3 linked regions of the Lepisosteus oculatus genome follow. The protein of the gene in region 2 interacts with the protein of the main gene of each other region in a biochemical or structural test. Links are inferred from orthologs where the notes say so. Each region holds a gene or a part of one and is shown on either strand. Other genes may lie near its edges. The genes, in order: srfb, elk1 and mapk9.

Region 1 (7,498 bases), on a different chromosome or scaffold from region 2:
AGAGTTTCTTTGTCATCGTTTTTTTAAAGGCCTGTTGTTTGTCCACGGTGACAATGGGGAGGGGTGTTGCCCACTGGGTGTGTGTGTGTAAGTGAGGTAAGGAGGTGGCTGTGTCTCTCTGTAAGAGTGGGAGCGAGCGGAGGAGGGGGTCTGTGAGGGAGACCCTCACTGCCACGTGCTTCCCGGCTCACCTGCACCTCCAGCCCTCTCTGAGCTGCACAGAGGAGCCGGCAGCTGTGCTCCGTCCCGGGCGGCACCTTAGACAGCTGAGCGCTCGCCACCGGCCTCCCTCCCTTTTCACAGCACCCAAGCGACTGGGGAGCACCTCACTCGTCCTCTCGTTCCTCTGGCACTGAGCCCTTCATCAGAATCATCACAGCACTTTTACTGGGAACAGACAAAATATTTCTTTCCACATGCTGCACTAACCGGCCCTGCTATTCTTTGTCCTAAAATTGGCTTATAATTCTTGTTATGTTCACGCATGAAGTGCACGTTTCAGTGTCTAAAAGGCATCAGATACTAGGTGGCCTGTGATTTATACGGTACAGAGCGCCGGTTATATGAAGTGGTATATGCTCTCCCTCAGTTTGTGGGTTTCCTCCAGGTGCTCCGGTTTCCTCCCATAGTCCAAAAACCTACCAAAAGGTTCACTGGCATCTGGAGAAACTGGCCCTGGTGTGAGTGAGTGTGTGTTTGTGTCCTGTGTGCCTGTCCAGAGTTTGTCCAGCCTTGTGCCCACTCCTTGCCAGCGTAGGCCCAGGCTGCCTTGTGACTCTGTGTTGGATGAAGCAATGTTGGTTAGCAAACAGATGGATTATATGAAGCATCTTGAGCCTTTTAATGTTTGTCAAATGAACGGAGGGTTTTTCTCCCTCTATAACTTGACCTCTAGCATCACTTCCTTTCCTGGATTTTAACCGGATTGGGTAGGTGAACGGGTGTGCAAGACAAGAAGACGAGTTTACAGGCCAACCGCAGAGGAGCAGCAGACTCTTGGAGCCGGAGGGGCGACAGATATTTAAAGCTCCCTGAAACCATGTTGCTGAAGAGTAAAGGTTTTCCAGGCAAAGCAAGCTTCAAAGAAGCTCCGACATCACCGAAACCACAATCCTTTCGGCTGAAGAAAACTGCTCAACACCAAACACACTTCCCTATCAGCTGCAGAAATACCCAGCTATTGATGTTAACGCTGAAAACCTCTCAGCGCATTCTTGGCTGATCGTATCATGTAGTCCACAAATTTTAAAGAGCAGGGTTCTGCACGACAATAAATTACGATCAGGAACCAGCGCTTCCTGAAAGGCGAAAAGCAGCTCAAATCACAGTAGCCTCACAGTTTAGACCTCTGTGAGACACTAGAACTCTGGGCTGTGTGGCAGGCCTGACCGTTTAGTGAACCTATTTTTTTTCAGCGCGTCCAGCACTGCGCAGATGGTTCCCGTGTGCTTTATCATCTTGCGGCGGCAGCAGAGCCAAGACTTCCAATCCACTGATCTACAAAGGATCATTACCACAGAAACAATGTACCCTCACCCAGACGCCAATCTGTTCCAAACCTGAGTTTATAGAAAAACTAGTCATGGATGACTCACCTACAGTAACCCTTGATCATGCTAAAGCTTTTGTGAAATGCTTCTCCTTGACATGCAAATTGGGCTTATTTTTATCCCACTCTGTCCTGTCGTGTTCTGATTTCAAGGGTTCTTCACTGTCCCTGCTCCTGCTCTGTCTTTAACCGGTATCCTCTCCTTCCCTGGGCTCATGGCGTCAGTGGTGGTGTCTCGCAGGGCCGGGCAGCCTCCACGCTCCTGTCAGAGCTTGAGATGGAAAACTCCGGGCCCAGACCCCTCCAGCTGCGCCCCGCAGCTGCCTGGTGTCCCAGCTGACAGGAGAAGATCTGGATGAAGACGTTCACTGGAAGTATCCCAAGCAGCAGGCCTGTGTGTTGTGGGGTCTCTGTGTGCGGGGGGCAGGGGGGACTTGCACCGGCTGAGGAGGTATCCAGATGTTATGTCTCCACACACCCCTCTCTCTGGCCTCTCGGAGAGCCAGACTCTTCCTTCTGTCTTACACAGGGCATGGCTGTCCTCCCCCCCCCCAGGAGAAGCACAAACCGCACTGCAGACGATGGAGGAAGGAGGAAGGGTGACCAGACGTGTGCAGGGGGCCGGAGAAGTGCTGCTCTTCTCCGGAGCTGGGAGTCCTGCAGGTCTCCTGACTCGGGACAGGTACTGCTTCCCCTTGGACAGAACTACACTGCCAGACCCGTCCAGCATTGTGTTTGTTTGTTTTTACAACATTAAACAGATGATTCATTTTTAAAAGGAAAGTTAAGAAGAAAAAAAAACTTGAAACTCGTACCCGAGTGTCAAAACACTAACGGGCTTAAAAGTTTCATTTCTTTCACACTGGAGGAGGCACAGACAAGGACACACAGTTACTTCAATTTCAGGTACAGCAAGCCCAGGAAAGGCCCTGCCTGCTATCATACAGACACGCCGACACTGCCACGGCAGTTAAAACCCACAAGCCCAGCTCTCTCAACAGGGGCGCCTCATAATTGCCAAGAACGACGAGCCCTGCCGATCATGCCTCTTCAGGGCTGGTTAAATGGGTAAGACTGCCTTCCCGTTATCTAGGCTTGCATATTTGAGCAAGGCCTAATCTAATTTAATGCAGCATCCAGTTAAACAGTTTCCATAGCAACCAAGCCACCCTGGCAAGAGTTGGTGATACAGTGAAGTGAGAAGACTGTGGAGTGCCTGACAGGTTTGTTCTAAGGTGTCTGCACCCACTGGCCCTCGCTAATTAGGAACATCGGCAAACGCACAGAGCTGTGTTTTTTTTAGTCCCGTTCAGTTTTAAACGCAGTGCTCAAACCCCCTAAACAGTTCGGCCACATAATGCTTAACAGCTACAGTTTCACCGCCAGGGTGTTGAGAACTAACGAGGGACGCGACGAACCTGAGATAAAACTTCGTGACTGATCTAATATTTAAACACGCAGTCGGACATGAAGGTATGAGCATCACCCATCTCCAATAGTGTCATTCACTACTTTGTTAGGAGCAGTAAATCCGACCTGTTAAATGATACTTATTTAAAAATGATTACTTATACTTCTCCTGAACACCCATTCAATCCAGCAAGTTGCAAATGTACTAATTGCGCATTTAATTGCAGACACAGGGCGTGGTCACGTATTTCTTCTTACTTCCCTGTAGAGTCTTTTAATTGCACGAGGGGCACTTTGAAAAGACAAAGCAATCCCTCCTTGTTTTTCTATGCCATCAGGAAAAGTTCATCTGTGTGTTGAATCTGTGTATCTCTGCCGGATACTACTGCTTTTCATTTGGAGGTAGATTATTTTTTGGAATCTGTGAAATCTTTCAACTTGCATTAATGTTAATATATCAAAGTTATGTGTTCTTTCTGGATTATAAACGTTATGTACGGCTTTGAAGAAAATACTCTTGAAGTGCATTACTCTTATAGCTAGTATATATCACGTCCATAGTGACATAAAATCCCAAACGAATAGTTTTGCTCTGTCATTTTCTAAAATATTCCTAGATATTCAAAGGTTTTTCTAAGAGGTATCCTAGAGGTCTTACACTGATCTGTTTGTTGATACTCTCTGAATGCACGATGTATTCGAAAAAACATTGTATGTACTACAGAATATCCAGCATGTGTTGGAAAACCCTGTGCCTGGAAATAAGAAGAAGATGTGGAATAAGAAATGGATGTGTTAGAGCACAAACAGGGGTCATGATATCAGGATCGGGGCGAAGACAATTGATGAGTGGACGGGGTCAGACACAGCAAGATGAACAGGTCATTGCTGAACCAATGTTGGACCAGGTAACTAGTGATCCATTTCCATGTGACCTAAAGTGACCAAGACCTTCCGTAAAGTGACAAAAGGAGACCAATAATTATGACGGGGCAAGCTATACCACCACAACAGCTTAGTTTGTAGAAGATCTTACGTGAAGCCCTTATCCATGTGTATATCGGCAAGGGATTATGGTTTATTTGTACAGTACAACAGTGAACAAATTAAATACAGCAGTGAATAAATTACAGTTCATAAAACCTTGTTTGATAAGGCCCCTGCAGTAGAAAAGAAAGAAACTCAAGCCGTTGGCACTGTGATATGTGAAAGCCCCTAACTGTACAGCAGCTAACTCGGGACTTTAACTCCGTGCCTGTCTCTTTAAACTCGACCACCAGCCTTCCTCCCGTCGCTGACGTCAGGGGGATGAGCGCAACCATCTTGGTATTTATTCTAATGACCGGGCGCCTGGCGTCCAATGGCGGCGCAGGTTCGGGCGGCTGCGGCCAATGGCGGCGCGGCGCTGTGACTCACCAAATAAGGAGAGCCGCCACCATAAAAGGAAACGTTGTATCTCTTTATATGGAGGAAAGTAGATCGCTACCTATGGTATCCGTCCACGGGGAGCGAGTTGAAATAAGCGAATTTAGCCGGTTCCCCCTCGGCGCCGGCGCCGTCTGAAAGCGAGTTAGGTGATCCGGAGGACGGGTAGGAGCGTCGGCTGCCATCCCGGGCGCGCTGGCGGGCTCCCCGGCGGTGTTTTAATGTGGGGACTACGTGACATGGCGGAGTGATGCGTAGGGCGTGATCCGCGTTTTCCTTTTGGAGAAAGTGCAGCGAGTTTTGGAAATAGAGGAGGTTGAGCTTGACTGAGCCGGGGGTGAGGGGTCTTATGGGGGGCAGCATCACTTCTGAAACTTAACTTCTCCCGTTATAAGGGGACGTCGGAGCCTTTCTGACTTTCCGGACCGCTGTTTTCTTTTTTTTTCTTCTCCTCCTCTCCCTCCCTTCCCCCGTTGACCACCTCGCTGGCCGGTGTATGTGCTTTGCTGTAACAAGACGAGCACGCACGGGCCCCAGCGAGCGGCTGGCTTTCTTTAAAGACACCCCCGGGGGCAGCAGAGTATAATGTTACCGAGCCAGGCTGGGTCGGCACCAGCTGGAAACGGGTCGTCTGCGGGCCGGGGCAACACGGGTCACAGCTCGGGGGCGGCCGGGAGCGCGCTGCGCCCGGGTCTGGGCAGGACGGGGTTAATCGGAGTGGCGGCCGGGGTCAGCGGCAACGGCGGCGGGGTGGGACGGTCGGGGGACGGGGCAGGGATGCTGGGGGGCAACGGGGCAGGGGGAGGCTCCCGAGGAGGGTCCCGGCCGGGCAACGGGGCAGGGCTGGCCGGGCTGCAGGGGACTGGAGTAGGGGGCATCGGGGGAGTGACGCCCGCCGTCGGGATGCACGGGGCCGGGAGGTACGAGCCCGAGCGGGACAGCACGCCTCAGGTGTACAGCGGCTCGGACGCCGACTCGGACTCCGGGGATGACGACGACCCCCTGGGTCCGGCCGGGGACGGCAGGAGAGGGGTGAAGCGGGAGCGGGCGGAGATGGAAGCCGCCGGCGCCGGGCAGGAGACCGGCGTGCCGCCGGGGGCATACGGCGGGGTGTCCGCCGGGGTGGCCGGCGCGAAGCCGGGGAAGAAGACCAGGGGGCGAGTCAAGATCAAAATGGAGTTTATCGACAACAAGCTGAGGCGGTACACAACTTTCAGCAAGCGGAAGACGGGCATCATGAAGAAGGTGAGTAACGAGATTGCCCTGCCAAGTTCGCGGCCGGTGGAGGTGTCGGGGGAAGTTTTTTTTTTTTAACGAGTCCCGTCCTCTATCCCCCCACTCCCCCCCGATGCGAGGCCTCGCACTGTCCCCCCCCCGGGGCTGGAGAAGTTAACGGTTGGCGTATAAGTTGCTTTAAGCGACGATGCAGCGGCGGGCGACCCCGCGGCTTGAGAGCGGGGCGAGTCGAGAGATGGAGCCGGAACGCCGCCGCCGCAGCAGGGAGAGCGTCTGGTCCGGTGAACAAGTTCGTAAAACCTGGGAAAGGATGAGCTGCCCAGCGAGCACACCGTCGGAAACGGCACACCGGGTTGTCGAAGTCGTCGTCGTCGTCGTCTGCTCCCAAGACCAGTTCTGTCAGCGCCCGGGCTCCGTCCGGCGTCATGTGTCGGTCGTGAGAAACTTCGCCAGTCCGTGTTTCAGCCCGTGTGTAGCCGCGGAGCCTGTTCTGTTGTGTCTGAGCTGTAAGAAGTGTACTTCACTTTTTTTTTTTACTTTCCGACTTTACCGCTTTCCCGGCCCTCTGGAAATCTGCAGACCTACCCTGCTGAGATATCTGTTGTGTTTTTGTTTTTCGCTTTCCAGAGAGACCACGCTCGTCCGCGCACACACACAGAAACATGGAGCAAGGGGGGGAGTTGTGGGCCTATCGGCAACAGCAGAAAATATCCCCAGAATCGGAGAGTGTCTCCACCTGAATTATTTTTATCCGTGTGCCGGGGGGTGGACGGTTGTCTTTTTCTCTCCGCCTCTGCCCAGTGAGAAATCAGAGCGCGGATTACACAACGCGGCCCGCCGTCTGGGGAGCCGCTCTCGCACTGCCGAGGTGTTTCTCGGGGGGGTGTCTCCTCCAGGGGGTTCGGGGGTGAGCCCGTCTCCCTGAGGGGGTACCGACGGAGAGCGGGGGAGTAGGCGGCGGCGGCGGGGGGGGGGATGGAGAGACGAAGAGGAGAGCTGCCGCAGCGCGCGAGGCCGGGAGGTGGGGGGGGGGAAGCGAAACTGACACGGGCTCGCGCTGGAGTAGCCGCGAGGCTCCCGGCGGTGTTTACTAGTGACCGGGGGGGGGGGGGCGCCGCGCACGTGCGGACCTCCAGTCAGGGGAGAGAGCGCCCCCCCCCCTCCTTCGCCGTAGGTGGAAACTACAGCGGACACGGTGGGCTCAGAACAAGAGGCAGGCGCTTTAAATAGAAAAGAGCAACTGGCAACCCCTGTGCCCACCCTCCCCTCCCTGTGGCCTGTGCCGGTGTTGGTGTCGGTAGTACCGAGCTGCTGGTCGGGTGTGTGCGCGACCCCAAGGGCTGCCTGGCCAGAGGCTGGCGAAGCTAGAGCATCGGGGAAGTGTGTTTCCGTCACGGAAGGTAGCGGACAGGTGGCATGGGCTGCGGTCTCGGTCCTTGTTCTCTGTGCTCTGGACCCGTTCCCACTATCGACAATGATCCCAGCTCCACAGCCTGCAACGGAGCTCTTTTCTGAAATGCGGTGTAATTATCTGTTAACAGTCGCTTTCCTGCGTGGTGTTTCTTCACCCTACGTCCCCTCAGCAGTTTGAAGAACATCTTGCCCGAGGGCCCGTGTGAGAGCACGGCGTGGCCCCTGTCCTGTCCGCACGCAGCTCCTCCGGCTCCGATTGATCCGAGGGCCCGGCAGCACTCCCACGGCCCGGCCTTGGTCTGAGACGGGAGTCCCTCCGGCCCTCTGGTTCTGCTGCACTTCCACATAGTCCTTCAGGGAAGAGCATTTCAATCTCAGACCAGCAGGCACTACGAGCTGATTCCCAAGAGACACTTTGCTGATGTTTAATTACATGTTGATTAATTCAATGTCACTATTGCCACC
Region 2 (7,272 bases):
AACGGCAGAAAATCAACATATTTCCATAAGCGGAAGAATTTCGAAATGGCTATAAGGCGTATAAGGATGGGGGAGATTGGAGACTGGCGTCTGGTTTACCTACAGTATTAGAGTAAGAAGTCAGAACTGAAAGCAAGATGGCAGTATTGAAAACATCTTGTAACCATGCTGGCAAGCTCATTCTCTCCCTCAACAAAACCTTTGCGTACTCTTTGTGGTTTCCCCTCTGACCGAACTGCGTCTACTGCGCCCACAACGTGCCTTAAGCCGTTTCATTTGACACACAGCTTTTTCAGATACTTTTGCTTAGCAGGAAGAAAGATATCAATGAATTGATCCACTGATAAACCGATCTGTCAAAGTAACACTGATACAGTCACCCAGGTCTTTACACACTCACACGTTTAAGACTCCCAAAGAAGATGAGCACTGAGCCAGTGGGGTTTTCACCAGCAGATGCAGGGAGAGTAGAGATTTATACAGAGCAGGCAAACCAGGGTCCCCCAACCCTGCTCCAGCCTGCTGGTGTTCCTCCCAGAATATCTTTCCTTAACTGAATTAATGAGTTCAACTGTAAACATTCCCCTGAAGGGTGCCTTTGCAGAATTTTCTTTTTCTGAGATGTTTTAACTCATGGGTTTAACTTATGAACTGCAAGGAGACGCTCTTGCTCCCCAGTATGATTAGGAGCAGAGGACTACTGAAGGTGTCCGGTGGATGCAACTGTCAGGCCAATCAAGAGTCTGATGCAGTAATGCAGAGCCCATCTGCAATGAAAACAAGCAGGCCCCTCAGCACCGGGGGATGTGTAACTGGAAGACTGCGGGTTCAAATCCTGGGTGGGACACAGCTGTCGGTACTTTGAGTGGCATATTTCGCCCTGAATTGCCCCTGTAAGAGACGCAGCTGTGCTGTGGAAGTGGAACTCCTTCGGGGCTCGACGGTTCAGGCCCGTCTACGCTTCGCAAGAGGAAAAGCTTTTGTGTCAGCCTCTTGCTTGACAAGAGCAAGCCAACAGCAACAACAGCAGCAAAGACAACAAAATAATACATAGAATAAATATTACATGTTTTTATTATATAATTTGGTATTAGTTCAGGTGGGTAGCTGCGTCAGCATGCGTAGGCTGCAAAGGAACAAGTAATAGGTTTATTCCATGCTGAAAAAAAGAAGAAAGAGAACACAACTTTTCGGCCGTGGAGCCTTCTTCAGGTGTGAGAGAGACAGGGCAGTAGGCAAAGGTAAAGTAGCGGGAGAACAAAGGTTGGGAGGGAGGAGGAGTGAGAGGCGGGAGCAGGGGACAGAAAGAGAGGCCATAATGTGGTATGACTGGTATAATATGGAATTACTCAAATTATATTAACAACCAAATATTATATATCAAATATAATAAAATAATACCTACAACAGTGTTACCACATGGTGAGTGGATTTTGAAAAACACTTCTGTTGTCAGAACAATTAAAAAAAAATCAGAGCACAGCCTTTATATTTTAAACTGAAACTGAAAAAACATCTTAGCTTAGAGCAAGCTTGGGAGAGAGCGCGATGCTTTGTATCCCTCTGAGTTACCACACAATTATTTGTCATTTTGGGGAAAAGGACAGGAAGGGAAGTTCACCTTTTTCAATTCTCCAAGCAGGTTCGGGGAGATAAGCATCTTAAAGGACGTCTCCGCGGTATTAGGGTTGTAATCGGACTTGGACGCTGCATTACCGCCCTCAGCCCGTACACACGCTCGGAGACACACGGGCGCACAAAACGTCAACAAGCCGAAACTGGTCATTAGAAACCAGCGGCGGGGTTTGAACCACAGCCATGAAAATTAAGTGATTGCACACCGACCTCTCAGAGCATTGGGAAATTGTTTACTTAGGTGTGTGTTCAGGTGAATTTAGGAGGGAATTTAAAATATAGAGACATCGGAAATAATCATTATACGTTATTTATGTTCGCTTTTAGGGGAAAACGTGGTGTCTTCAGCTGCACAGGCCAGTCTCTGGACACTGCTGGCCGGGTAAATGACTTTTGACTCTCGACTGCTTCGACATCCACGAGCTCTGGAACTGTAACGCGCGCGCCGGAGGCGGGGGGCGCTAGACTGGCTGTCGATGGTCTCGTCTCCTGCGCAGTCTTTCTTTTTTAAAAAAATAAATAAAACAAAGCTTTAAAAAAAAACCGTGCAACCCACGGCATTTTGCTCCGACACTGAAAAACCGTTCTGCTAGAAAAACCGATGCGCGACTCGAGTAAAAAAAAACAAACAGTGTGACATTTGAAAGTAGCAGCTACAACTCGCATCCAAGCCCTTGACAGGGGGAAAAAAAAAGTTTTGGTGCCAGTGCGCTCCTCGAGATCTAACCTACCAGGAGAGCAGCAAGTTTCCAAAGCGGGTGTTGGCGTTTATACGCGCGTAACTCTCGTTTATCCTGCCGACGTCTGCGCGGCGATGCTTGCAAGGGAATCACGGCAACAGACCTCTCGATTAACGGCCAGGAAGGCACCCGCGCACACGCTGGGCGATGACACTCCGCCGGGACACACGCCAAGCCCGGCCGCGGCGCAGCGCGCTAGCTGGGGCGGTCGATACGGTGTAGCCAAGCCTGCAGGCGCCGCGACACCACGGCCGCCCGTCCAAGCGCGGCGCTCCGCGGGCGCACTTACCACATAGCAGGGGGTTCGAGTCCATGTCTCAGGCGGCGGGGGTCCTGACGCTCATGCTGGAGGGAGAGGAGAACACCCGGCCGGGAGAGCGACGTCCACAAGTCGGTCTGGGGGCGAGAGGGTGGCGGGTGCCAACGGGCGATCGTCCAGCCCGATCCGGGGCTCTAATTATGTAATGACAGGGCTCCGACAAAGACCCGAGCCACCCCCATATTTCACCTCCGGACTTGACTGATGTGTGTGTTTGGGTTTTTGTTTTGGACGGCTTCACAGTCCTACAAGCAGCCACGGCGCATGCTGGCCTCCCATGTCCTCCTGCCCGGTCGCCGTGACGCCGAGCGCTGGCAGGTGAGGGTCTTTGGAATCGGCGAGGCTCGGAGTAGGAGACCCCCGTCTCTCTCTCTCTCTCCCCCCAGCCCCCCCACAACACACCAACCCCAACACCACCAGCACCGCCCCCCTTCCCAGCCGCTCTCCTCCGCTGCTCGCTCGGGTCCTGCTGTCGCTCCGCGAAGCGAGGTCACAACTCCCCGCCGCCTAGGCGCAACATGTCTCCGGGTACTCCGCCTGCTGTAACGGCGCTTGCTCTCGGCAGTCCATGACACGCGTGTCGGCCGCAAGCAAGCAGCAGCGGCGCCTCCCTCCCTCTCTCTCTCTCTCCGTCTACCTCAAGCGTCTCCAGTCCTCCCGTACTGTAAACCTCCGCGGCTGCGTTCCTCGCTTCCTGTTTCACAAACGCCTCGGCTGCGCTCGCCGCCTCTCGGCGCCCCCGCCCCCCTCTGTCGCCGGCGAGCGCCTGCAGAGTGAGATGTCAGCGTCACAGAACCCGTGACGTCAGCTATTTCCAGTAAAAAAAAAAGGAGGGGGGGGGCAGCAGCCAAAGACACCGTCACCCCCGCGAGCTGCTGCTCCGTCTAGTTCGTCGATACCTTTCGCTTCGATCGCGAATCCGTTCACAAAACATTCCCGCACAGAAATGAAATGCCAATTACGCTGAACTGCAGGTCGCGGGGGTTAACGGTGTTCGCCTCGCTGAAGCGACACAACGACGACGTCAGAACCTTGGCATATGTTGTATTTTAGAAGTGAAATACGAAATGTTACGTTATATTTCACAATGTGGGGGCTGCACACTGGTGGTGGTGGTGGAGGGGGTCCCCATTACCTGTAAAGTGTCGGCAATTATTAATTACTCCAAGTGCAACCACAGACTGCAACGCTTTCTCTATAAATTGCGTGAGGTGACACGAGTCTTATGATATAAAGCCTAAAGTTCAAACAAATAAAGATGAGATAAAAATAAACGCATAAGCCTCATACATTTATAGTGTTATTAATAATAATAATAATAATAATAATTGCTTACACTTATATAGCGCTTTTCTGGACACTCCACTCAAAGCACTTTACAGGTACTGGGGATCCCCTCCACCACCACCAGTGCGCAGCCCCACCTGTATGATGCGCCAGTATCACCACACACCAGCTCTCAGTGGGGAGGAGAGCAGGGTGATGAAGCCAGTTCAGAGAGGGGGATTATTAGGAGGCCATGATTGGTGAGGGCCAATGGCAAATTTGGTCACACCCCTACTCTTTTCGAGAAGCACCCTGGGATTTTTAATGACCACAGAGAGTCAGGACCTCGGTTTTACGTCTCATCTGAAGGTCAGTGCCTGTTTACAGTCTAGTGTCCCCGTCACTGTACTGGAGCAGTAGGACCCACACAGACCGCAGGGTGAGCGCCCCCTGCTGGCCCCACTAACACCTCTTCCAGCAGCAGCCTTAGTTTTTCCCAGGAGTCTCCCATCCACCTGCTGAGCTCCAGGGGGCTGCATTATCATGTCGTTTTCCAGGGAGGAGAAGGACCCGTTTCCTCTTCCGTGACTCCGGCCTGGGCGGGACAGGGCAGGGGGCTTGCGAATCGAGGCACTGGACCAGCGAGGGCGGTCTCGTACAGTAGCGCCACCTTCCATCTTGCAGCGTGCAGAACGGACCCCTCCTTCACTCCCTGACTGAGGGCGGCCCGCCGGGCAGCCCAGACGCACCGAAACACGACCCGACCGGAGGAGGCAACACATTCCGAAGGGTCTCTGCCCCCCCGCCCCAAGCCGGCGAGCCGCTATCCCTGGTCTGTGGGGTTCATCGTGGGGCGCCTGAACCGAAGGCGTCGCATGGCTGTTGAACTGCTTCGCAGACGGGAGATGGCTGTTTGTGAGACCCGGCCTGTTCCAAACTGCAGAGCCGTGGGCAGGCGAGGGCCGTGGGTGTCACGGACGTCCAAAGGGACTAACCGTGGGGAGCAGGAGAGCGGAAAAAGACCCATACGCGTAGCGGCAAGACGGGAAAAAGGCCCGGGCTCATTAGTGCAAAGAGTTCAGGAATGCCGTATAGAAACCTATGCCCTCAGGGAGCGGACGTGGGGCGCCCTGGTGCTAGGCGGGTCTCAGGACATCCGAACGTCAATGCTGAGCCAGGACAGAGTGCAAGACCCGGAAATATATAGCCCAAGGGAAAGAGAGGGACCGGAAGGACAGCAGACCGGAAACTAGGGACAGGACAGAGAAGGAGCGCCCTCTGGCTGCTGAGGGCGTGACAGTGGGTTCTAAATCTGGTGAGGGGACCCCCCCGGCCAGCCCTGAAGTGCACACCCGCCAGCTTGCGCGAGTCAGTAGCGGACTGGGGGAGAGGACTGACCGAGCGTCTCTCGTCCTCCTGGAGAGCTCCAGATGAAGCGAGGTCATGCCCCCTGAGTGCACTTATTTCTGATGTGATTGTGCACCATGTACGTTCACCAGTTCAAGTGCTGAACATGCAACAGGTCAGGCAGCCTGATCAGCTTGAACGTCGCCCTCCGCTCGTGCCCTGATCGATAATGAAGGGTCAGGGCTCAGACCTGGAGCAGGGCGGAAGGGAGACGGCGCTAACGGGATTCGGGTCGCAGTTCCGGTGTCGCTCCCAGTGTCTGCTCGCAGGCCCGGTCGGGTTCTGCAGCGAGACGGGCAGGAGTGCCGGTGCTCGCGCGCGCGAGGGGAGCGCGGGGGCGTACCTGCGCGCGCCGCGGAGCCGGTCTATTTCGGGGCGGAAGTCCTTTGTTGCCACCCGCGATGCGGCTCCCCGTTTCCACGGCAACTGCGAGCTCGTGCCAGGGGACGGCCACCCCTTGGAAGGCTGCGAGCGACGTCTCGCGAGCAGCGCGCCCCGCGCTCAGTCAAAAACAGCTTCGCTCAGACTTTTTATTATTTTATTACCCCGAAGCGTTTTCTTTAATAATAATAATAATAATATACTTACACTTTTATAGCGCTTTTCTGGACACTCCACTCAAAGCGCTTTACAGGTCCTGGGGATCCCCTCCACCCCCACCAGTGTGCAGCCCCACCTGGGTGATGCGCCAGTACACTCCCCACACACCAGCTCTCAGTGGGGAGGAGAGCAGAGGGATGAAGCCAGCTCAGAGAGGGGGGTTATTAGGAGGCCATGATTGGTAAGGGCCAATGAGTAATTTGGCCAGGTTACACCCCTACTCTTTTCGAGAAACGCCCTGGGATTTTTAATGACCACAGAGATCAGAACCTCGGTTTTACGTCTCATCTGAAGGTCAGTGCCTGTTTACAGTATAGTGTCCCTGTTGCTATACTGGGGCATTAGGACCCACATAGACCACAGGGTGAGCGCCCCCTGCTGACCCCACTAACACCTCTTCCAGCAGCAGCCTTAGTTTTTCCCAGGAGTCTCCCATCCAGGTACTGACCAGGCTCACACCTGCTGAGCTTCAGGGGGCTGCCAGTTGTGAGCTGCAGGGTGATATGGCTGCTAGAGATTCTGGAGTAGTAATATAATTTCTCTAAACTGGTGACCAAACCGTAAGAGTTGGGATTTCCAAATTTTTACTTTTCACATCAAAACGCCTTATTCTGTAGTTAAAACAATGGGCATCCTCTGAGTGTTTGCACAGCCGTCATTGGTCCTTCAGCACAGTCACCAAGGCTGAACAGCAGTGCTAATTTGTAACTAGGACTAAACCCATCGCAGTTGAATCATTGCCAGCGCTTTTAGAACATCACTAGAGAACACAGTATACAAACACACACACACACACACAGAGGCAAAGCAGAAACACAAGTGACCAAGAGGAGAAAGGATTAGAGCCCACTCCAAGCTTCTTCCCTGACAGAACCGGAACTGTAGAAACTTCCAGGTATCTTGAGCACTACAGAGACCCACTCTGGGCCTTAAGTGAGAGACTGGTTTATATATGTGGAAATACCGATTTCCTACAGGCAGTACCCACCAGGGAAGAGGCATTTTTCTTAGCAAGGCATTTTTTAATAGAGAAAAACTGTAAGTTCCTGTTTGTTTAGCATCTGCTTCAGAGAGACATTTAGTCTGGAGTAGGTTCTTGTAGAAGATGAGACACGGGTTCTCTCTTCCTCTTACAGTATTTGTGCTGCAGCTGAGAGGTGTTTTTCTGTGCCTGTAGAAAGCACCACTCCAAGGCTCTCAGTAGTGTAATATTTGTGTGTATGTATGTGTATTGTCTGTAAATATTTGTGTGTTTTTTAAGTGTGCTGCCTGATTATTATGTTGTTTCCACACTGCGCTGGAGGA
Region 3 (7,374 bases), on a different chromosome or scaffold from region 2:
CATTCTTCTTCCGTTTTATTAAAATGGAAAATGCATTATCTCAAGCTGAAGTATTGCAAAGTTGTTATGATGAAGCTTTTAATAAGTGAAATGCAAAGCAATGAGACAGTAGCATAACAGACATGGGCTCTTGCTGAGCAGAAGTGTTTCGATATGACAGGAAAAAAGGACACTTGTGGAAAGAACTCTATAATAATTGCTTACACTTATATAGCGCTTTTCTGGACAATCCACTCAAAGCTCTTTACAGGTAATGGGTACTCCCCTCCACCACCACCAATGCGCAGCATCCACCTGGATGAGGAGACGGCAGCCATAGTGCGCCAGAACACTCACCACACACCAGCTATCAGTGGGGAGGAGAGGAGAGTAATGAAGCCAATTCATAGATGGGGATTATTAGGAGGCCATGATTGGTAAGGGCCAATGGGAAATTTGGCCAAGACGCCGGGGTTACACCCCTACTCTTTTCAAGAAACACCCTGGGATTTTTAATGACCACAGAGAGTCAGGACCTCAGTTTTACGTCTCATTCGAAGGATGGTGCCTGTTTATAGTATAGTGTCCCCGTCACTATACTGGGGCATTAGGACCCACACAGACCACAGGGTGAGCGCCCCCCTGTTGGCCCCACTAACACCTCTTCCAGCAGCAACCTTAGTTCTTCCCAGGAGGTCTCCCATCCAGGTACTGACCAGGCTCACACCTGCTTAGCTTCAGTGGGTTTCCAGTTGTGAGTTGCAGAGTGATATGGCTGTTGGCAACACTAGATAGATTATTTAAAAAAAAACTTGGGAAGGATAGAGCATGAGACTTTATTTAATAGTACTACTGTATGTGGTACTGTAGAACACATTTATGAAAGTTAAGCAAATACAGGTAAATCAGGTACATTTTCTAACCACTTCTTCCAATTCAGGGTCACAGGGAACCCTGAGACAATCCTGGCAAGCAGCAGGCGTAATGTGGGGTACACACTGGAAATTAAATATATTCCCAAAAGCCAATTTACGTTGTTAGAGTAAAAAGAAACCCACGCAAACATTATAAAATCCACACAATAGCACCTCAAATCTGGAAAGGAATCCTTGGCCCCAGCCCTGCGATGCAACAATGTTCACTACTGCGCCATGGTATAATCCTACATGTAAAACTCCTCTGATTCACTATTACATGCCAAAAGACCTTTCATGAAACGTTCAGCTGATTTTCTACTGCACATGAAACTGACAAGATTGTAAAGCAATCTTAATAATACATTGGTATACTGTATTGTATACTTACAGTACATGTAAAACACCACTTCAGGTATGTCACATCCTATAAAACCTAAAAGTACCAATATACTGTAACAATGTTTATCTTTGGTATGTTTACCTCTTTGGTATGGACCCTTTAAAATGAAATGCAGACAGCAAATGTTAGTCAGCATGAAACAAAATGTTGCAATGTCATCCTTATAATATATTGTACTTTACATAATGCTCACAAACTCTGATTTCAACCGCTGCTTCTATACAAAAAATGATAACGTTTGTTCCTACAAAAAAAACAGCCACCTTCCCGTTCACAGCTAGCAGAGTTTCTAAACTACCCAAGGAGAGCAGGAATTTTATAGAAGAGGAGTGTTTAGTAGTGACACATTTAGTTAAACCGGTCTGAAGTGATGGAAAGTAATGGATAATTCATAGTTTTGCAAATTCAAGGACCAAGCGTCGCATCACCTCAAAGCATCAGCTGAAGTCCAGATTTCTGAAAACAAGTCTTTATGTTAAAAATATAATGATGATACTTATAGTTTTTTAGCACAGTAGGTGCTCAAACATTCCAACCAGTAAAAAGAAGAACAGCGCACTTACGTGACAGAACAGTAATAAGAGAAGGAAGCTAAAAAAAAGGCAGTGTAGAATCATGAAAAATGGCAACATGAATGCAGGCCTGGCCACGATAAGCCGGTTTCCAGACTATTGTAAGGTTCCACACCGAGTATTACCCGTATATCCGAGGAGGAAGTAGTTAGAAGGACATTGCCAATTAAGTAGCACTTGAAACAGGATAAATGGAGAATAATAGAGTCTCTGAAACAGTCTTAAATAAATGGGCGTGCCCCTAAGATAGCCAGGTATTCTTGCTCTGTATGTGGGCGAATAACCTGGGGTGTTAACTGCCTGCAGGTTCAAAAGCAATGGATGTCTAATGTCTAAGTAATTTGCTATGGTCTTTAAATAAAAGAAATCCCTCCAGTATTTGGCAACAGAGCACAGCTTCCCCGTAGCCTTTTCATTAGGTACTAACTTCAAATATTGCAGCTTCCAGCAGCCATGCAACACCATCGGCTTTAAACAAAAATCATCTGTCTCTGTATTTTTTTTATTTTAAAGCCTCCTGGGAACGATGAAGCTGTCAATTCCGCCCTAGAAGGCACATAGAGTTCCCGTACTCCATCATTTAATCAAATACCGACAGTTTGTAGGCTTTCTTTTTGCAGCTGGCAGCCAATGAGTCATTCTGGAGTAGTTTCATTGCATCATTACATACTCCCTCCAACAGCCTGTGTTTTAGAGTAAGACCACAAATTACAGCCTAGGCCAGATATGCGAAATATCCTACAGCAGGGAGGACCTGTCGTGTCAATTCCGCTTCTCGGTTAATATTCGGCCAATTCTGCAACTTACAAGCCCCCGGTCTGACTCAAGGGCCCGGTCTGCACCCGCCTCCCCTTTCACTTCTGGTAAGAACTGCAGCAGGAGCAGCGCATGCAAGCAGGCGAGCTAAATTTAATTACACCTACCTTCTCACTTCGCTTTCTCCCCACAGCACTCCCATGCACGACAAACCCAAGAAGAGGGGCTCCGGGGCTCAACATTCACGAAAATCCAAGGTATCCAAGGCGGATGCGTCAAATGGAGAACTCAGCTGTCAGCCGCGAAAATACACGGTCTTTCTTCCTAGATGCCGGATTTCTAGGTCCTGTCAATGGCATGACTGGGGCGGGGACTTGTCGGCACAACAACCCGACTGCGGGCAGGAAATATGCGTGACGTCATCACGCCAAAGCTAGAGTGTGGCGCGTCAGCAAAGCCAGTGGGAGCTGCGATCGTTTAAGCCTGTCTGGCGGCTGCCTGCTGGGGGTTTGTTGCAATGCGACCTGATTACCCTTCTTTCTAAAGTACAACTTTTAAAGTTTTAACAATAAAAAAATCTTTCGAATCCTAGGGATCCACATTGTAGTACCTCTGTAGACGGTGGCTTTCTGAATTGAAAATGAATACACTGTTTCTATAAAATGCTGCTGGAAATGCAATATGCTGTATACACTCATCACTGGAAATGGAAAATCACTCGAAAACTTGAAATATAAGCGATACATCAGTATTAATATGAATAAAGTATCTCCATCAAGATCGAATTCCGTGAGTTGTACAATTCCAAAAAGTATTCGGGCAGCATTTTTTTCCTACTGCTATAATAATAATATCATCATTATTATAAGTACATCGTCCACCCGTCCATTTTCTAACTGTTTCTTCCAATTCAGGATCACGGAGGAGCCGAAGTCTAAACTAGTGAGCAAGGGATGCAAGGCAGTTTACAAGGATACCTGTGCATCCCAGAGGAGACACAAACACACACTTACTCAAACCTGGGCTTAATTATACCCCAAAGCCAGTTAGCCTACCAGTATGTCTTTGGACTGTGGGAGGAACAGGAACATCTGGAAAAAGCCCACGCAAACACAGGGAGGGGGCATACAAACTCCACACAGATAGCACCCTAGGTCCAGAACTGAACCTAGGGCCCCAGTTCTGTGAGGCAGCAATGTTAATCACTGCACCACTGTGTTGCCTGCGTAAATATCTGTGTAAACGAAAACTTTACAATAACTGTACATGATTTTGAGATTTTGTGTTTAGTGTAGAAAGTGTTCAGTATAAAGCCACACATACACAATTTGAATTAATGTGGGGTGAAGTTATTATACAATTGATTCAGTATAAGGCACATTTGTATGAATTACCTACTAGATTTATTTAAATGTTTATGTATCAAATTGGTAGGCTTCCCACATAAGTGGTTTCTAATTGGTCTGGCTGGTTGGAGGAATTGGTCTTTCCACTGCTTTGTTATGCAACTGAAAAGGTTAAATTGTTTAATTGGGAATACTGTACTTAAGTACAAAACTGATGACACATGCCCTGCAATGGACTGGCTTCCTGTCTAGGGTGTATCCTGCCTTGTGTCATTGCTTTCCAAGATTTTGAGTTGCTCCAACACCCCTGCAACCCTGAATTTGAAGAAGCAGTTAGAAAGTGTTTGGATATCATGACAACAGTCCCATGGCAGAACGCAGGCATTGTTTATTTATTCAAAGTTTTAAGTAGTATACCTCCCAACCTTATGTTACATATGAAACTAGAGTTAAAATGGGCATATAACAGTAATTTGGATAAATAGCTATAATTGATACCATGTCCGTTCTGATGAATTTAGATGAAAAAATAAATTCTCTGTATTCTGTGTGTCAATAAATCTATCCATTCATCTTCTCACAACTTCTTCAAATCCAGGGTCATGGGGGAGCCATATCCTATCCTAGCAAGAAATGGGTACATGGCAGGGTATACCATGGATGGGAAGCCAGTCTATCATAGTGCAGACACACAGACACCAGTCCATGATAGGGAACACACAAAATGTCATTATATAGGTGCCTTAAATATGTACATTGAGATAAATGTGTTAAGTTCAAGTGTGCACGAATACTCATTTGTGTATATACCAATGGACAACAAAAAAAACAAAAGTCTGCACCTTATGTCTATAGCTCATTAGGTAAATACTGTACATTATTTCACTTTCATTTGAAACAGTGAGAGGATTGATTTGTTGGCTCTCTAATATTACCCCTTGAGAAAAAGTTCAGGTCAATTTGATTTTATAAATACCAGCTGCTCAGTGTTTGTCATTTTAGTTGAATTATTCATAATTGCCAGAATGGGTTGGTTAAGAACCCAGATACATATGCATTCAAAAAATAAAATTGTAAATTAAGGAAAGAGCAAAAACAGATACAAGCATGCCCTGTCCAAGTGATTGTGGGTTGATCTCTCCATGATTAAGGGCCAACCTGCTTAGAAAATGGGATGGTCTGCTTCAACTATCAGCAGACCCATTAGCAGGAAACAGGAAACTAGGTCTCAGTTGCACAAGATTAATACTCCAGCTCAAAACTAACACATCTGATTTATCTGCATAATCAGAGTTTGGTTTCTTTAGGGGACCCTGTACTTTTCTGAGGTTCTGAAATCTAATTTTAAGATCCCCCGCTCTATTAGGTATTTTTGGCTTTCGATAAATAATACAAGACTTAAATTAATAGGGATTATTTCTGATCCAATTACAGTTACTAATTACAAGTAAATATGGTCTAGTGAGGAGCTGCATCTTTATACCTCTACTTGATTTTAGGGAAATACAGTATATATGTAGCTAGTGCTGGCAACATGTAACTATACCACTTTGGTTAATAATCTCAGTCTGTTTAAGGACGTTCAAACCAATTAAACCAATTCTATGACAAGCATAAAGATATCAAACCAGGGCAATTTAAACATACATTTTATTTTGCCTTTTTCTAAACATTCATAGATTTTGAAAGTCCTCCATAATAAAAACATATAAAATATCTTTTAAAAGGCCATTGATCTTCATCTTTAAAAAAATACCCAAAAGCATCACTCACAGTTTTACGTAGCATGACAACACAATAACAATAATATACATGTCAAGTACTTTTGGTAAACAATAACAAACCACTTTGATTTTAGCAAGCCTGGAAAAATAATTTACCTTTTTATAAATTCATAAATAATCTAAAACACATGATACTAAGACATCTTTGTTAAAAGATTTAGCAGACTGGAATACATATCTGGGGCTCAATGCAGACTTGTGTTTTACAGTGACAATACTGCCTGTGCCAAATAAACTATAGCAAAGGCTGTTGTCAAATGAGAAGACATGTTTCATACCTCCTCACCACGGTCTCTGCAGCACATATATTCTGGATATAAATAAAGCTACATTAAAATACATACAGAAAAAGATCAATAGATCATGCAATCTGATGTTTCTTCACTTAATTTGGTATAATTATTGCATATATGAATCTTCTGACGATACACATCTCTCTGTGTATCGACTGAAAACAGTAAGCACTTACTTTCATTCTAGACCAAGTCAGGCCTTCTCTTGCTACAGTGGTTTGAAATTAAGGCTGGGGGTGTTCAACCTGACTCTTTTAGTTGTAGTGGAGGAGAGTGTTAAAGAATGTTACAGCATGGGAGTCACAGCATGGCTAAGCCTCTATCGTACAGAAGCTCCGCTTTATAGAGCACCATGTGCTTAAGGGTGGACCACTGCTTTTGATGTTTAAATCCTCAAGAAAACATGCCCACACTTGCTCCCATTATTGTACCAAAAAGCAGACTGATGTACGGCTACATATTGATTGGAACCTGTGAAAGTTTATGCCACTGAGAGCAGAGGATATAGGCGTTATACTGTATGTTATGAGATAGCTTTGCTTTTAATTTAGGATGTAATTTCTATTCTGAAATACATTAAATCCTTCCCCAAATTCATTCCCCTAAAATGTAGATCATCTGCATAAAACCAGAAACATTTGGCCCTCTTACATTAAATATTGCACAGTATTAATAAAATGTCAATCTAGGAACTACAAGTAAACATCACATTTTCTTTTCCTTATCACTCCTATGGCAACAGGAGTACATAAGGTTAAGGCACAAAGTAAATTAAAAACTGCATAGTGTTGCTACATTGAAGTGTCAATGTACTAGTTATTGCATTGGCTGGATCAAACCTTGTAAGTCCTGTATCAATTATAGTGCTGGAAGATAGAGAAAAAGCCTGATCCTAGAAAACTTCAATGATAGTCTGTTGTGTTTCAGTTTTATGTAATATATAAATACATGTAAATATCTATAAACATATGAACATACATATAAACACCCAAGACCGCAAACGTTCTTCTTCATTATCTTCCCTCCAATAATTTCCAGTTTGTTGAAGAATATTACTCCACTGTGACTGATTTGGCAAGATTCCGTGGACAGTCAACCTAAAATTTAAAGAGAAATAATGTTAAACATTGTTTCAATAACATTTCAAAGAAATAGTTTAAAAGATAGTTTTGTTTACAGTTTATGATGTGTACATTACAGCAAGTAGATATTAGGTAAATGGGTGCATTAGTGGCTAGATTTATGTGATAAAATGCTAAATACCCAATATGAACTGGTATAAACCCTTATTCAATAGAAGCATAAAGTAAAGATTCAATAATTAATT

Evidence for each region.
Region 1: the proteins of elk1 (region 2) and srfb form a complex in vitro, tested with the Homo sapiens proteins (2 studies listed by BioGRID). The link is inferred for Lepisosteus oculatus from reciprocal best matches to the Homo sapiens genes ELK1 and SRF.
Region 3: of the proteins of elk1 (region 2) and mapk9, one has a biochemical effect on the other in vitro, tested with the Homo sapiens proteins (2 studies listed by BioGRID). The link is inferred for Lepisosteus oculatus from reciprocal best matches to the Homo sapiens genes ELK1 and MAPK9.

The regions. Positions count from the first base shown.
Region 1 is NC_090712.1:6,300,913-6,308,410, forward strand, and holds the start of srfb (serum response factor b), read left to right. Parts: upstream 1-4,416; 5' UTR 4,417-4,969; coding exon 4,970-5,629; intron 5,630-7,498. UniProt on the Homo sapiens protein: SRF is a transcription factor that binds to the serum response element (SRE), a short sequence of dyad symmetry located 300 bp to the 5' of the site of transcription initiation of some genes (such as FOS).
Region 2 is NC_090697.1:76,536,567-76,543,838, forward strand, and holds the start of elk1 (ETS domain-containing protein Elk-1), read right to left. Parts: upstream 3,087-7,272; 5' UTR 2,690-3,086; coding exon 2,665-2,689; intron 2,656-2,664; exon of another isoform or gene 2,367-2,655; intron 2,138-2,366; exon of another isoform or gene 1,057-2,137; intron 1-1,056. UniProt on the Homo sapiens protein: Transcription factor that binds to purine-rich DNA sequences. Forms a ternary complex with SRF and the ETS and SRF motifs of the serum response element (SRE) on the promoter region of immediate early genes such as FOS and IER2.
Region 3 is NC_090706.1:23,084,249-23,091,622, forward strand, and holds the start of mapk9 (mitogen-activated protein kinase 9), read right to left. Parts: upstream 3,034-7,374; 5' UTR 2,792-3,033; intron 1-2,791. Other genes in the region: gfpt2 (glutamine--fructose-6-phosphate aminotransferase [isomerizing] 2), read right to left, coding at 7,100-7,144. UniProt on the Homo sapiens protein: Serine/threonine-protein kinase involved in various processes such as cell proliferation, differentiation, migration, transformation and programmed cell death.